Linked DNA regions of Alligator mississippiensis. The protein of the gene in region 2 binds, or shares a complex with, the protein of the main gene of each other region. Links are inferred from orthologs where the notes say so. Each region holds a gene or a part of one and is shown on either strand. Other genes may lie near its edges.

Region 1 (7,382 bases), on a different chromosome or scaffold from region 2:
GGAGAGACCTGCAGTATGTGGCATCTTAGAAAAAAGTGGATACAGGCTCTTGCTACCTGTGCGGGCTTGGAAACTGGCCAGATGAATCCTTATCTCTTGCTGCTAGCTGCTAACTTTTAGCTTTGACACTGTAAAGAGTCCTTATTTCATGCTTTCTTGGGGCCTGTTCTAAAGCTGAAGGACAAGGACCTGGGGCACAGTGTGCTTGCCTGACTCCCCACCTTAAGGGTGGAAGTGTCAGGATTGGTCTAGATCAAGCCTTTAATTTAGCACTGAGGGCACACAGGCTTGTTCTACTGCTCCTTGCATGAGCCTTGCAGCTCCTGGCTCATACCTGTGACTGAGCTGTTGCTTGGAGACAGTGGGTGAGGAACCAGAACTGGCAGAACAGGAGAGAAAACATCCTGAAACAGCTTTGCAGTTTTTGTAAAGCTGGCCTGTGTTCTTGGTAGACATTGAGCTTGCCCTTGTGTGCCAAAGTGTTGGCAGGTCTGTGTGGATTGGCTGTGTTGGGAGAGGTGGAGCCTTGCAAGGGCGTGGCTTGGAGTTACAAGCAAACAAATATGCTAGAATCTTCTGTGTTAACTTGAACTCCCTGCAGCCCCTGCCTTAATCTCCCAAGGCAGGAAGAGCTTGCCTTGCTGTTTCCAAGCACCCTCAATTGCTATTGTGCCTCTGGGGCTGCTGTTAAGCATGTGTTTTCCTTCAGTTCAGGAATAGGAAGTCCATAGGCTCCTACGTTCCCTGCCTTGATATGGGGAGGGGGAATGTTAACCCAAATGATACAATCAAATTCACTGTATAAACTGATCTGTGTTTGAAAAGCTGGAAGCTCTGGATATCAGAACTCTTGGAGGTGACTCTAATTTCCCTTGTGATTAGAGAAAGTACTTGCCAGGTCAAGATGAGACTTCTCTTCTGTGAGGCACCTCAGAACTGAAGGATGAGACAAAATGACAATGGTGGTGGGAACAGAGGCCAAAAGCTTGGATGGTTCTGGAGCTGGGGATCTGGAATCCTGGGGTAAGCACATGAGTGAAAGTGGAGACTGATAAACTAACAGCAGGTTTATTGCCTGTTTTTCAGGGCTAAAAGGAGGTGGCTCCAACATGGGAGGTGGTGCTAATGGCCCATCATTCACCTACACGTTCCATGGAGACCCTCATGTTGTGTTTGCTGAGTTCTTTGGAGGCCGGAATCCCTTTGATACCTTCTTCATGCAGAGGAATGGGGATGAAGACATGGACATTGATGACCCTTTTGTCACCTTCCAAATGGGAAGTTTCAGCAATGCGGGTTTCCCCCGCACCCGAGGGGGCCACAACAGCCTTCGCCGGAAGCAGGACCCTCCCATCACGCATGACCTGAGGGTCTCCTTAGAGGAGGTCTACTCGGGCTGCACCAAGAAGATGAAGATTTCTCACAAACGTCTCAACCCGGATGGGAAGACGACACGCAACGAGGACAAGATCCTAACCATTGAGGTGAAACGGGGGTGGAAGGAAGGGACCAAGATCACATTCCCCAAGGAGGGTGACCAAACGCCCAACAACATTCCAGCCGACATTGTCTTTGTTCTAAAAGACAAGCCACACAGCATCTTCAAGAGGGATGGCTCGGACATCATCTTCCCAGCTAAGATCAGCCTCCGAGAGGTGAGTTAGGGGGTCTGGGTACAGGACTCGCTGGAGTTCTAGCTTTGGGTCTGGGGTGTACAGACCTTTTGTTGAATTTCATGGTCTCTCTGACTTGTCTCTCTCTGCAGGCCCTGTGTGGCTGCACGGTGAACGTCCCAACGCTGGATGGCAGGACCATTCCCATGTCATTCAAAGACATCATCAAGCCTGGAGCAAAGCGCAGGATCACTGGGGAAGGTCTCCCATACCCCAAGAACCCAGACCAACGCGGGGATCTTATCATAGAGTTTGATGTGCGGTTCCCAGACAGAATCCCCCAGACATCCAAGAAAGCTCTGGAGCAGATCCTTCCCATCTAGTTTGTGCAATCTGTGGACCTGAGACCAAGACTGGCTGAACACCAAAGCCTGTGGGACCATAGCCTTGGGCTCCAGGCTGGGGCTCTGGGAACTTGGTTTCAGTGCCTTGACCCAGAACATTGCTTGAATCACCTACACCAGTGAGCTGCTACATTTGGGAGGAGCCTACAGACACACTGCTGACAAATCATCTTGTAAGGATGTGACCAATGACTCAACCCACTGTCTGCATCCTGGGCAGCCCTAAATAGGACAGCTGCCTTGCACTTCATCTCTTGCTGAGTTGGAATCCCTTCACCATGTGGGGGGCATAAACTCCAAACTGGACAGTCCTTACTGTTGTAGTCCTTGCTTTGTGTCTTGTGTTCCTTGTTAATTCACTGGAGAACTTTTATCCTGGGTCACTTGGATGTTCTTGGCTATGAATTCCCACCTCAGAGTCCTGCCTGCCTATTTTGTTTGCTGGAAGGTGGATATACTCTCGCTGAACTTAATTGTGGGTCTGTGAAAATAACCCTGGTAAACACTAGGGCTTAAACAAATGTCTTGAAGATGAGATGAAATGAATAAGCCCTGGAGTTTAAACCAGTAGCTATCCAGGCCTAGAAAAATAATGCAAAGGGATTTCCTGGGTCTTAAATATAATCTGCTTTTTCAAATCTTTTTTCTGAAGAGACTTTCATAGATGCATCCCTCTACATTCTTGGGCTCAATTCCTGGTAGGGCAATGGGCTGAGCAGGTATTGCCTGGTTCTTGCATCTCTGCCAGCAGCAGAGTCTGACTCCTTTCCTTACTCACAGTTGCTGTCTTAAACCAGAGGATTTTGGCCAACCACTGAACTCTGGGGCATTTGAGGCCTTGGCCTCTGAGCTTGTTAACACCACCTTTGCTATCCTTTTTTAATTAAAGGGTTCCTGCTCCTGGTACAGGAGCATTACAGCACTTCTTGTACATACTTTGTATAAAAGTTGTGTAAATTTGACATGTAATTAAAATGCAGTGGAGAGGCTGGTTTATTTTATAGGATTGTATCTGAATTAAAGACTCATGGGAGGAGCTGGTGACCTTCCCTTTTTTTAAACATGCAGCACTGTTTTGAAGTATGGCTGGACTGACAATTTTCAGTTACTAATGTGATAAGACCAAACTGGGGTTACGATTAAAGTCTTGGTAGCCAAAGCCCTGTGTGGCCTTATTTGGGGGAGAGGTATCTGTCCTGATGTGGGAAGCAATATTGAGTTGCACTTGTTAGACACTGAGTGGCTCAAAGTGGCCTTTCCCACAGCTGCTGTTATTTTACTAAGGCAGGGTTTTAAATAGGCTAGATCCCCACTGGGAAGGGTGGGGACAGTGGGTGTAGGGCTAAGATTAGGTGAAGCAACTGCAATGTAGATTCCCTGCCCTGCGTGGAACAAAAGATATGCAGGTGCCAGCTTAAAAGAGCCAAGACCTACGCTCACCCAGATCTTTATTAAAGCCACTAGCAACTACTAGCCCTCATCCTGTGGGTGCAGCTTTTCCTGCTTGTTGGCCTGGCTTGCTGTACAGGGGTGTGTCCCACAGCCCCTTGCTGAATGAACAAGGGTGTGGTGAAAGCCCAGAGGCCCAGACGCATTCAGCCCCTGTTACTCCTTAGGAGAAGGATAGAGTAGGATTTCCTGTTGGCACAGGTAGCAATTACATGACACTCCCAGGCAGAAGCAAGATCCTGGGTTTTCCCAGCCGGTAGCTTCCCCTGGGTTGGGCCCTGGCCGGATCTACATGCTTTTCTCCGCAGCTGAGGGGATCTCGGAGCCTAGATCCCTGCCTTCTGGTCCCTGGCAGCTACAGCCAGACACCTGCATTCCGGGACAGGCCGTGCTGCTTGCGCTCGGCTATAAGACAATACGGGCCTCCTGCAGCCACCTCCCAGAAACTACGGGTCCGGGCGTGCCTCGAGCGAGCATTGTATGACGGGACTTGTAGTCCAGCGCTCGCGCCGATGTGGTTCAGTGCGTATGGTCCCGCCAAGACCTGCGAGACCCCCGGGATGCACCTGACTTGGCTGCCCACCCGACAGCACACCTGATTGGCTCGTTCTGGCCGGATCTGGTCTGCAATTGGCTGGGGGCGTATCCAACTCCTCTGAATGGTCTCTCCTACGCACTCAGCAAATGTTAACCCCTCCCCCCCAACCACTCCCCGCACTCCCCTCTCATGGTACCTCCCACCTTCCCCTTCCCTGGGTTTGGACGCTTCCAACTGCACCCAGGCGGGGGAAGCGGCTGAATCCGGAACGGCCCACCCAGCCCTGAACGGCAGGCCGCGCTGCGATTGGTCGGCGGCAACGCAAGGCCGCTCTGTGATTGGCGGAGGCGCTGAGGCTGGTCCCGCCCCCCCTCCCGGCGGCGCAGGCCCCAGCTGGAGTTGGGTGGAGGTGCGGGGTGGCTGGCGCGGGTGGACGCGTGAGTGTGGGGCTGCGATGGGGGGAGGGGGCAGGGGTCTTGAGCCGGGCGGAAGGCGGGGGCTGGTTCTGGGGTCTGTGCCGGGCGCGCCGGGGGGAGGGCACAGAGCGGGGCGTTAGGGCTGGGGGGAGCAGGGTTGCCATGTGCCCCTGGTCAGGGGTCCTGCCTTCTGCCACTGCCGGGCACCCAGGCCATGACCCCCCCCCCCATCGGGCAGGAGCACAAGGCAGGACTCCTGGGTCCGGTCCCAGGCTCAGCCATTGATTCCTCTCCCCCCGACCTGACATGTCCCTCTGTGCCTCAGTTTCCCCACATGGATGGGGGAGCCCCTAGCTGTTGGCTTCCCGTTTACTTACCCGTTTGGCTTCCCTGAGGCACCAAGGGAGCAGGGATGAAACCTGGGGGCAGTGGAGTGTAGGAAGTGCTACACCCCCACCCTACACCCCCCCCCCCCATGCCCTGGCTCCTGCCCACACTGCCCTGGTGTTGCTAGGCCCTGCTCAGTCACAATGGCGAGGTTGCCTTTAACTTGTTCCCAGGCAGGAACCCTGCCCTCCCTAGGCACATTAACAAGCCTGGTCCTCTACCTGGACCCAGGCCCACAGCAGGTAGCTGCTGGGGACCTACCAACCCCCTGGGTGTGGGGCTGAGCCAGGCCCCACGACCTCTGCCAGGCCCCCAGCACCTGCCAGCTTGGCCTGCAGCATGCAGCCACCTCTGGGGGGGACCAGGCCCAGAGCCTCTGGAGAGACCAGGGTGGAGGAAACATACCCAGCTCTGAGCATGCAACAGCTGAACTGCCACATAGAACAGGCTGGAAAGATGAGTACAATAGACCCAGGTGTTGCAGGGGGACTGAGGCCTTTTCTGGCTCTGGGATATGCAGTCCCAGGAGAAGGCACTGGAGGGTCCCTGGCAGCTGGCATGGGGGAAGTGGTAAAAGCTTTCCTCTGCCCCAGGAAAGGGGCAGGGGGTGGGTAGCCACATTTCCCGGGCATTGGAAGAACCCGCTGGGGCCCGTTCCTCAGCTCTGAGTCAGCCGGGCATGGCAGCTCCACCCGCATTCCAGTGCCTGGTGCCGGGACCCCCCTGCGCTGGCTTCTACCTACCCCTGAGGGGACAAGGAATCTGGGAGAGCATCCTGGGGGGGAGGAGCCATCTTTGGGGTCCAGGGAGCCTGGGAGGGGGTGCAAGGGTGGTCTGGAATCTGGGGTGGGGGACTGGTGTCCTGCGGGGGTGCAGTTTCAGTCTGGTGCGGCAGCTGGGCTGGGACCCAGGTGCCCTCCCTGCAGCCTCTGTCCCCCCCCCCAACAGGTGTCACCCGTGGGTGCTGGTGCTGGCCGTGGTCCCCCTGCCCTCATGCCGTTAGGCCTTGGGCGCCGGAAGAAGCCCCCCCCGCTGGTGGAGAATGAGGAGGCAGAGGTGGGGCGTGCGGGGCCAGGTGGGGGAGATGGGGCAGGGGGTCCAGGAGGGCTGGGAGCCCTGCATCCTGGCCTGCCTCCCCCGCCTGCTGGCCTGCGACCCCGCCTGGTCTTCCACACACAACTGGCACACGGCAGCCCCACAGGCCGCATTGAGGGCTTCACCAATGTGCGCGAGCTCTACGGCAAGATCGCTGAGGCCTTCCACATCCCCCCCACTGAGGTGCCTAGGGAGGAAGGGGCACAGGACCTGGAGCTACAGGGGGCTGAAGCTGTGGGGGAGGCTGGGGACAGGGGGTGTAGGTGGAGGGATAAGGGGCATGGGACAGGTCTAGTGGGTGGGGGGGGCAGACAGGGAGACAGGTCCTGGGGGGCAGCCGGTGTGGCTGTCTGAAGGGATGGGTTTAGGGCCTGGGGTAGGTGAGCAGGTGGGAGGCTTGGGGCAGAGGGTGAGGATGGGTGGAGGGATGATGATCCAGGGCCTGAGGGGCCCGGTAGGAGGCAGGGGTGGGCAGGGGGTTTGAACCTCAAGGGGGGAAAGGATGGGGGTCCTGGGCCTGGGATGCAAGAAGACAGGGTCTGGGGGGTGAGAGGCAGGGAATGGGGCCTCTTGGTGTTGCTCACCACCCCTCCCCACCCACAGGTGATGTTCTGCACCCTCAACACACACAAGGTGGACATGGAGAAGCTGTTGGGGGGGCAGATTGGCCTGGAGGATTTCATCTTTGCCCACACACGGGGGCAGCGCAAAGAAGTCGAGGTGCTCAAGGCTGAGGATGCTCTGGGGCTCACCATCACTGACAATGGGGCCGGCTATGCCTTCATCAAGGTGGGACCTGACCCACAGCATCTGGTGCCCATCACTCCTCACCCACAGCCCCCAGGGTCTGGGTGGGATCACAGCCCTGCTGTCTCAGCCCAAATCTCTGGCATCTGCTAATCCCCAGTTTGTGATGTTCTCCAGTTCCGGGGCTTCAGACTTTCGCCCTGCTGTTCCATGCTGCCATGTTCTGCCCCAAAGCTGGGCACATCTCGGCAGTGGGCAGAAGGCCCCATGTATGGCTGCAGGTCCGTGCCAGGGGCTTCAGCCCCTTCAAAGTGAGGCAGTGCAATCTGGGCAGAAGGAGTCAATGCAGGGGACATGTTCGATCCAGCTGGGGACACAGGGGTCCTTGTGCTTCAGGGCATGGCAGGGTCAGGAAAGACCTAGGCTTCGTTCCTGATCACTAGCTCCCTGCTGGTGCCCCTCACTCCTGACTCACAGTCCACTGCTCCCCCAACCCAGCCAGTGCCCCTCACTTCCAGTCCCGGACCACTGCCCTCCCCCTGCCAGCTTGCCATTGTCCCTTACTCCCAACCTACAGCCCTCTGTGGTCCCTGCCTGGGCAGGGTTAGGAGTGAGGGGCCAAGGCCAGCTGGCTGTGCCAGGAAGGCACTGGGGAGGGGGGGTGCTCAGGCTGTCCCAGCCATGAGTCCCAGTGCAACCCCTGCCCCCACAGCGCATCAAGGAGGGCAGCGTG
Region 2 (7,979 bases):
TCAAAAGAGGGAGATGAGATGCTAAGAGATGTAGCTTTTTTAAGTGGACTCAAAATGCCAGAGGCACATCTCGTGGAGTTCCTTATGGAACTTTCCCTGCAAGCCTCTGAGGACACTAGAAGGATAGATTGCTAGATCCTCTTCCCTTGAGTGCCTTGTTGAGCTGAGATTTCCCGCTCATGTTACCATGCTGTTTTGACCAATAAACTTCAGTCCTGCTTCTCTATTCCAATGTCAGTGACCTCAGGGAAGGAGGTCACTGCTTCTGAGATGCTAAGGTCTAGGGCACCTTCTTCAATACTTACTAAATTGCAAGGTGTTAGGTGCCTGACTCAGCAAACCAACAAAAAAACAAACAAACGGTCAAAGATCCCTCTGGCACCTCAGTCCCAACTGTTAAATGTATGGTGGTGGTATCCACAAACCTGTGGACTGGCTTTCCCCTAACAGCAATACCTTAGCATTCACTGCCTTAGTATCTGGCACATCAATACAATGGCATGGGTCCCTGTTTCTTACAGCATGTAAAATACAGAGTAATTAAACTCTATGCCCAATGACAGCACCCCCTGACACCCTTGCTAAATAGGTGGAAAGTGCAGCTAGTTGAACTCTTGGTCAATGAGACTTTGTCACAGCAGGAAAAAATGCATGAGCAAAATCAGTTTAATCTCTTATTGAACTAGAGGAGACACTGATAAAACAGGGATTCAGGTGAGAACACAGAGCCCCCTTCCAGCTGGTGCAACAGTCATTGCCTTGAGTTACACACCCTCTGGCTTGTTCTCTTCTGGCCCACACTATCTTCCTTTCTTGGCTGCTCAGGGGGCGAACTTCAAAAGGACCACTGGGGATGCAACCGGATAACACCTAACCTGAGGTGGTTAGGGCACTGCTGAGAAATCAGAGATGAAAGTTCAAACCCTCTCTGGGTGATGGGGACCCATCACCCAGGTCTCCTGCTTCCTGGGTGAGCACCCTAGGCACTCTGCTATTCCATTTATAATTATGGGCTCTGGACAGTTACATTTTTGTGGCTTACGTGTCCAGAAAAGGTTTGCATACACAGGTGCATACCTGCCAGCCAATATGTAACCTACAGCATATGTTCAGTCTAATAAAAGTGAGTACCTATGAGTGGAAACAGATTTTGCTTTTTGTTACACTTGTATCTCCATAAAAATGTTGATGTCTGCCCAAAGGCCAAGCAAACAGACATTAAACCCTTTGCTGTGCCACAAATGCCCAAAATTTATGGCTGCAGCAAGGCGGTATTAATGTATGCCTCTTTATTGCTGGAGTCTGATTTGTGGCAGGAGACTGCCTGCACATCCTAAATGACCTGGGCGAGCGCTCTGTGAGTTTGAGGGACCAGCTCCTGTGCCCCCCAAGAATTCCTGCATGGGATCAGGTCCCTCAAGCCCTGGGAATGCCTGCCTGGCTTTCCTCTCTTACAGGGACCTGGCCCCAGGATCTCTGGGGTACACCTCCCTAGCCAGGGAAAGTTGGGTTTCCTTTACAGAGATGTGCCCCTGGGAAATATTGGGGCCATGTCTCTGTAGGCGGGGAAGCATCCTGTAGGCGGGAAAGCAGACATACGCGGGGCCTCAGGGGCCCAATTCTGCATGGGAATTCCTGAAGTATGTAGGACCAGGCTCCTCAAGTCCTGGGAGAACACGTCACCCATTGTCCCACAGCATCAACAAGTGGGACAATGGGTGATGTATGTCTCACCCAATGAAGTGGATCAGTAGTGCCAGGACACATGCCAGCACAACTCATCCACTTCATTTGGCGACTTCATATTTCTAGCCTCAGCACCCACAGTGCAAGGTAAGAAAATAACAACCTGTACCTAAGTGCTAAAAAGGCTACTTCTATGGCTAGAAAACTGCCAGTCAGGCACACAAAATGTAGTAGAATTTCATCCTTGGTGTCCACTGGCCCACAATCACCCGAGATGGCATCATGCTAGGTAATCACCCAAAGAGAAAAAGATTTGACAAGATGTGTTGTGCACATGGATTCCACGTCTCACCCATGTTCCTCACTACTACCTAGTCCTAATCCTTTGAAATTCTGTTGGAAAAAGACATGAAGGACAGTTGGGTCCACTCTATGCTTAAACCCTCCAGTACAGGGACTAGGTCAAAGATAATCTGTTGTGCAGACGCAGCCTTGATGGACGCTGTTGGGCAGAGGAATCCAGTCCCATGCACATGGAGTGGACAATAGCAATAAACCAACACTATAATACAACACACACATTCAGATGAACAGTGATAAGATCTCACAAAATCTATAGTTGTCCTCCCTCATGGTTCTCCTGGCTTTGGTACTGTGCTCTTAGGATCCTTGAAGGATTTTGATGTGCTTTATTTTCCAAGAAGCTGGGACAGCACTGATGTACTTCTTGCTCCACATGATAGATTATTTTTAGCAAACAGTAAATTCTGGAGACTTTTTTGAAAGAGTTATGTCTACATTTTCCATCTGTACCAAATGTACTTTTTTGGATTTCTTCTTTTGCATGGAAAACAGAATGTGCTTTACTTAATAGGAAGAATATAGTCATGGTATGGTACAGTCATTGGGACTGCTACAATGCATATATTATTCCTGCTTAGATGGCCATTAAGTTCAGTCTCGCTGATGAAAATTTATTTCCTAAAATGACTGTAAAGTAAAAATAGACCTGACCTAAAATCCCAAATTGGCCATCCTGCCCTTATCCATAGTTTTGGAAAAGCTTAACATGATTCAGACTCTCTAGCTTTGGTTCATCTCTTTTATAGATGAAGTTTGAGATGTCTCTTGCTGTTGGTTCCTTGTGTACAGAAAAGGTAAAAGTGAAATACATTTCATCATTTTTAGTTGGTCTAATAAAAGATACTGGATTTACCCAAAGAATGTTGTCTACCATACATTTCATCATGTATTTTATTCCAAGTCACAGAAAAATACCAAGAATAATTCTTACATCCACGTTTTAACTTTGGTGTTCATTTTCCTCTAAATTGCTTTCTTATGAGAAGTTGGCGGACACAGCTGGAGAACAAACTGTATCCTGGATTTTTTTTAGAGCTCCCCAAGAGAAAAGTATAAGACAGATATATTCTTTTTAACCAGGAAGTGGAACCTGAGGTCTTGAAGAAATTCTCTGCAGTGTTACAGCAAACATTTGGATGCACAACATCTTTTCACAAGTGTAATCTATCACAATGTTTATCTGTTTAAAAGGTAACAGCCCTTGATTTAGTCATCTCTTGTAAAGTTCACAAAGAGGAAGTGAAGTATTTCCATTCCAAGCTGCAGTCATTGCCCACAACAATTTTAAGAAATGTGTTTACCTCCAAGTTAAATAAAATTGTCCCTGAAAATGACAAATACATTGAATATCCATAAGGACACAAAGACCAAGGACCAAAGACAAAGGAATATTTATGAGTTATTTTAAAATAATTTGTTCCAAGGTTAATATAAATTTAGGTAATACAAATGATATGGTCAGGTGAAGCTCAGCAGGTCTCTCAGGAGTTTCTCTAAATACTTCCTTCTAAAAATGGTGATAACTGCTAACTTTTTTTTCCTGCTTTAGGATGATGCACCCCAAAGTTCAGCCACTCTAAATTTCAGAGTCTTTATTTGTATAGGGAAAAAAAATCCCTCAGGAAGAACCGAGTAATTTGTATACATTAAATATGTTTGGTTGACCATTTCCTGCCAGGATGTAGCCTATTTCCATGAGGCTTTTTAACTAGTCAGCACATGCTAAATATAACACAGTTTGCCATTCACATTCCCCCCTCCCCAACATAAAAATAATCCTTATCTGGGTGTATGTTCTGCAAACAGAAATCAGGATTAACTACTGTCCTGAAAGGCAATATTTGAAATGGCCGGTATCACACTCCCCTGGTCTAGGAACTCAGAACTGTCACTGGAAAAAACCTGGAATTAGTTTTAAACACCATATGAAGGCATCCGGGAGCATCCAATGAAGGGCAATAGTGGCAAAATGTGGGTTTGAAGAGACCTGGGTGCTTTCTGCCCAAAACTGAACACGTGCCCCCTTGAGTTTGCATGCACATCTGAGCCCCTGGGATGTGACATGCTCTGAACTTGACATGCACCTGCAAACACACCTGAACTTGACACAGCCACCCTCCCCCCCCGAATCTGGTGCACACACACCTACATGTGATGTGTGTGCACCACCCCCCCCCCCCCACCTTGGACACCTCTCCTGAACTTGGCACACACGCCTGCACTCCTGAATCTCACACACCTGAACCTCTCTCTTTCTCTCTCTCTCTCAGGGGTGCAGGTTGTAGCCCTGTTGGTCTAAGGACAGAGTCAAGCAAGGTTCTTTGGGTGAATCTGATATCATTTATTAGACCAACTTAAATAGCTGGAAATTTTTTTTTAGCAAGCTTTCTGGTTTAAAAACCCTTGGTCAGGCTGGGGAAACCTCTGCAGTCAGTGTTGCTTTTCCTGGGTGGATGCAATTCTTTACTATTCATCCCAGCCACCAACTGCAGAGCCTTCCCCAGCCTGACCAAGGGTTTTTTAAACCGGAAAGCTTGCTACAATTGTTTTTTTTTCCAGCTATTTAAGTTGGCCGAATAAAAGATATCAGACTCACCCAAAGCACCTTGTCTCCCTCTTACACCCCCCAACCTGTCTCACAGCCCCCACTCCTGAACCTGTTACACACACGTACGTGTTGGTGTAATAAAAGATACCAGATTCACCCAGAGATCCTTGTCTGCACACACGCACCTCGTGAACTGCACACCTGTGGACCTGTCGCGCACGCATACGCGCTCCCCCTCCCCCCGCCTGTCACGCCCAGCCCTAACCGCGGGAACCCGCCCGCTCGCCCCCGCCTCGGGCCGGCCGCTGGTGCCGGCCGCCCCTCTCCTGCCGGCGGCGCTTCCGGGGCGGGGCCGGGCCGCAGCACCGCCCCCCGCCCCGCCCCGCCCCGCCCCGCTCGCAGCCGGCGCTGACGTGCGCCTGGCCCGTGGAGCAGCAGCGCCCGCCGGACACGGAGCTCAGCAGCGCCCGGCGGTAACTGCGCCCGCGCCCCTTCCTCTCTTCTCCTCTCCCCTCCCCTCCCCGTCCACCCCCTGGGCCGCGGCGCAGCGCAGCGCAGCGCAGCGCGGGCTGCCGCGGGGCCGGGGCGGCAGGGCAGCGGCTGTGACAGCCCCGCGGGTTTGGCTGGGCCAGAAGCGGCGCCGCCTCCGCTCCTTTCCCCGGGGGCCGGCGGGGGCAGCCCGGGGAAGTGCCGCCTGGCCCGAGCCCCGCTCTGCCCCTTGGGGGCTCCCGCGCCCGGCCACGGCAGGGGCGCTTGCACCGAGTCGGGCGCTGCTGCCCTCGCCCCGCCGGGGGGGGGCCTCGTGCCCTGCCCTACCCTGCCCTGCCCCGCGGCCCGCCCGCCCTCCTCCCCGTGCCCGCGGGGCCGAGCGGCAGGCGCGGGGCTCAGGGGTGCAGGGCCTCCCTGGGGACCCCCGGAAGCCGCCCTCCGGTGACTGTTCACCACCTCCTCCTCTGCTAGATAAGTGGGACGATGATAATTAATTTCATAACACGTATTTAATTAATAATACTAGTAGTAATTATCATCATCAGAACTTCCTTACTGCTCGAGGCGGGTATCCTGCCTGCCTTGACAGCAGGGTTGTTGGTTGTAGTCTCCTGGGTCTTAAGGGCAGAGGCAGGCATGGTTGCTTGGGTAGATGTGATCTCTTTTATTAGACCAACTCCAAAGCTGGAAAAACGGTTCTTTGCAAGCCTGAAAGTTGGCAAAGCTTGTAAAGAACCTTTTTCCGACTTTGGAGTTGGTCTGTCTAATAAAAGAGACCGCATCTATCTGGGGACCCTTGCCTGCCTTGACAGCAGCCTTCTGTGGCGTTCGGGTGATGGCTTGTGTGGGATGCTCTGGGCAGGGCTGCCTGCCTCAGGCAGGGGTGAGATGATCAGCCTGAGTTTCTCAACCTGTGGGTCACGACCCAAAAATGGGTCACAAGAATAATGGATCAACATACTTTCAAAAAGGATTCTTCTTTCAAGGAGAAAATCGGGGGAAACTGGCTTTTCCCTTGCAGGTTGGCAGAGTTTCACCCTGCAAGGGGCTGCTTGGGGCACCCCTTACCCCCACATCCCCCTCCCCCACACACTGGGGGAGCTGGGACCTGGGGGCAGGGGAGCACTGGGTTGGGAGTGAGGGGCACTGGGTTGGGACTGGATATCGGTGTTAACAAATGGATCCTGGTACAAAAAAGGTTGCGAACCATTGGACTAGATGACCTCTGGAGGTCCCTTCCAGCCCTGCTTCTCTCTGACTCTTTGTCATCTAAAAGACGACAACTTCTCCATGATGCTGCTGGAGCGTCTGTGTGTGCGTTAATTCGCTTTTCCTAATGCGCATTAAATTTAGTACCGTACCTCCAATGTGAGGTACTAAATAAATGCGTGTTAGGCTAACCAGAGGCACTGTATCGAAAGCAGACATTTTTAAAGTGATATTTAATGCAGTTGTCTATTTTACTGCGCATTAGTGTTATTGCACTTTTTTGTACATGGCACTTTAATGTGCAATAAAATAAACTACTGCACATTAAAGCGTGCGTGTAGACTCACCCAGTGTCATCTAAGATGACAATTCCTTGCTACGGTGCTTTGGGAGAACCTTCCCCTCGCACAGATAACATCAGCCTATGTTAATGCTAAAGTTGCACGAGTTTTCAGTGGTTTGTTGTCTCCCCTTCAGGAGCTGAAGATGCTACTGTGGGGGTTGGGGAGTATAATTTTTTTTTTTTTTAATCCCATTGAAAACTTAATTTCTAAGCACTTCATTTTTAAATAATTGTCAAGCAGGGAAAGGTTTTGTGTGAAGGTTCTTTGCCTTATGCTTACTCAGTCATTGCCTGAAGTTCAGTGCCCAGCATGTCTTGGGTATCATTAATGTTTACATGCTATATGACAGATGCATTCCTAAGCAGTAAGTCCTATAATACCAGAAACCTGTAAAACTTTGTTGTGGCTAAATTAATGGACAGCACAGATTAAATGAAAGGGTGTTTTCTACCTCTCGCGTAGTTTACGTGCTGTTGCTGGTATGCAGCAGCCCTTTTGTTTCTGACCATGGAGCGTATGTGTATGTCATAATTTTAAAATTGGTGCCTTGGGTAGGTCAGGAAGGAAAATAACTTTCTGTGATGTGATCTAATTTCTCTTTGTTTAGCTGAAGTTATTAGGCTGTAAAATGGTCTATGAACTCAGTCTGCAGCAATCAGAGTACAAAGGTTGACAATAGAGCCTAGTTTTCCTTTGTTGCAAATGTCACAAATTAACAGGATGTAAAGAGGTTAAATTCTCGGGTCAAATTCAGCATACAGTTATTTTTCAAGAAAAAAAAAAGGGAAAACGTGTTGCTTTTCTTCTTTAAGCTGTGTGTTTAAAGCTTCTGGAATATTTTCAAAACAAAGTCTTCCTGTGGTATTTGATGAGCATTGCGACACATCTTTACATTGTTTGCCTAAGATGTGAGAATGGAGTGATTGTAGACAAAAGTGAAACTAGTTGACTTATTTGACTTCATTGTATAGACTGGCATAAATGCAAAATAAAAATATTGAAAAGTAAACATTTACTAATCCTTGAAAGTATTTTTACCATGGTAAAAATATAAATTTTAACTTGACCGTATCTTTCAGTACACTTTTTTAAAAAAAAACAGAAATAGGTTAACTAATTACATTTTATAGAACTATAATAGCAGCTTTGTGAAACATAAAAATCTTGAGAATGACTGACTACACTAAGAATAAAGACAATACTATATAATTTGATAGTCTCTGGTTATAATTTTAACTTGTACATCCAGTTTATATTAAATAATTGTATCTAGTATCTTTTTATCTTAAGTTTTTAACAAGGCTTTTGATACTATCCCATTTGACATTCTTACAGGCAGG

The links.
Region 1: the proteins of MYO6 (region 2) and GIPC1 are in contact, whole or in part, in a crystal structure (PDB 5V6E), measured with the Mus musculus proteins. The link is inferred for Alligator mississippiensis from reciprocal best matches to the Homo sapiens genes MYO6 and GIPC1. Residues at the interface, in NP_001034635.2 of Mus musculus: Ser1055, Lys1056, Trp1057, Lys1058, Tyr1059, Ala1060, Arg1084, Arg1085, Leu1086, Val1088, Tyr1089, Trp1092, Lys1093, Asn1096; in NP_061241.1 of Mus musculus: Glu273, Ser274, Tyr275, Met276, Gly277, Ile278, Arg279, Asp280, Glu282, Leu283, Thr286, Asp310, Phe311, Ala312, Pro314, Glu316.

The regions. Positions count from the first base shown.
Region 1 is NC_081831.1:24,772,043-24,779,424, reverse strand, and holds the start of GIPC1 (PDZ domain-containing protein GIPC1), read left to right. Parts: upstream 1-4,354; 5' UTR 4,355-4,441; intron 4,442-5,755; 5' UTR 5,756-5,800; coding exon 5,801-6,085; intron 6,086-6,505; coding exon 6,506-6,691; intron 6,692-7,361; coding exon 7,362-7,382. Other genes in the region: DNAJB1 (dnaJ homolog subfamily B member 1), read left to right, coding at 1,087-1,655, 1,766-1,996. UniProt on the Homo sapiens protein: May be involved in G protein-linked signaling.
Region 2 is NC_081824.1:65,992,071-66,000,049, forward strand, and holds the start of MYO6 (unconventional myosin-VI), read left to right. Parts: upstream 1-4,974; 5' UTR 4,975-5,070; intron 5,071-7,979. UniProt on the Homo sapiens protein: Myosins are actin-based motor molecules with ATPase activity. Unconventional myosins serve in intracellular movements. Myosin 6 is a reverse-direction motor protein that moves towards the minus-end of actin filaments.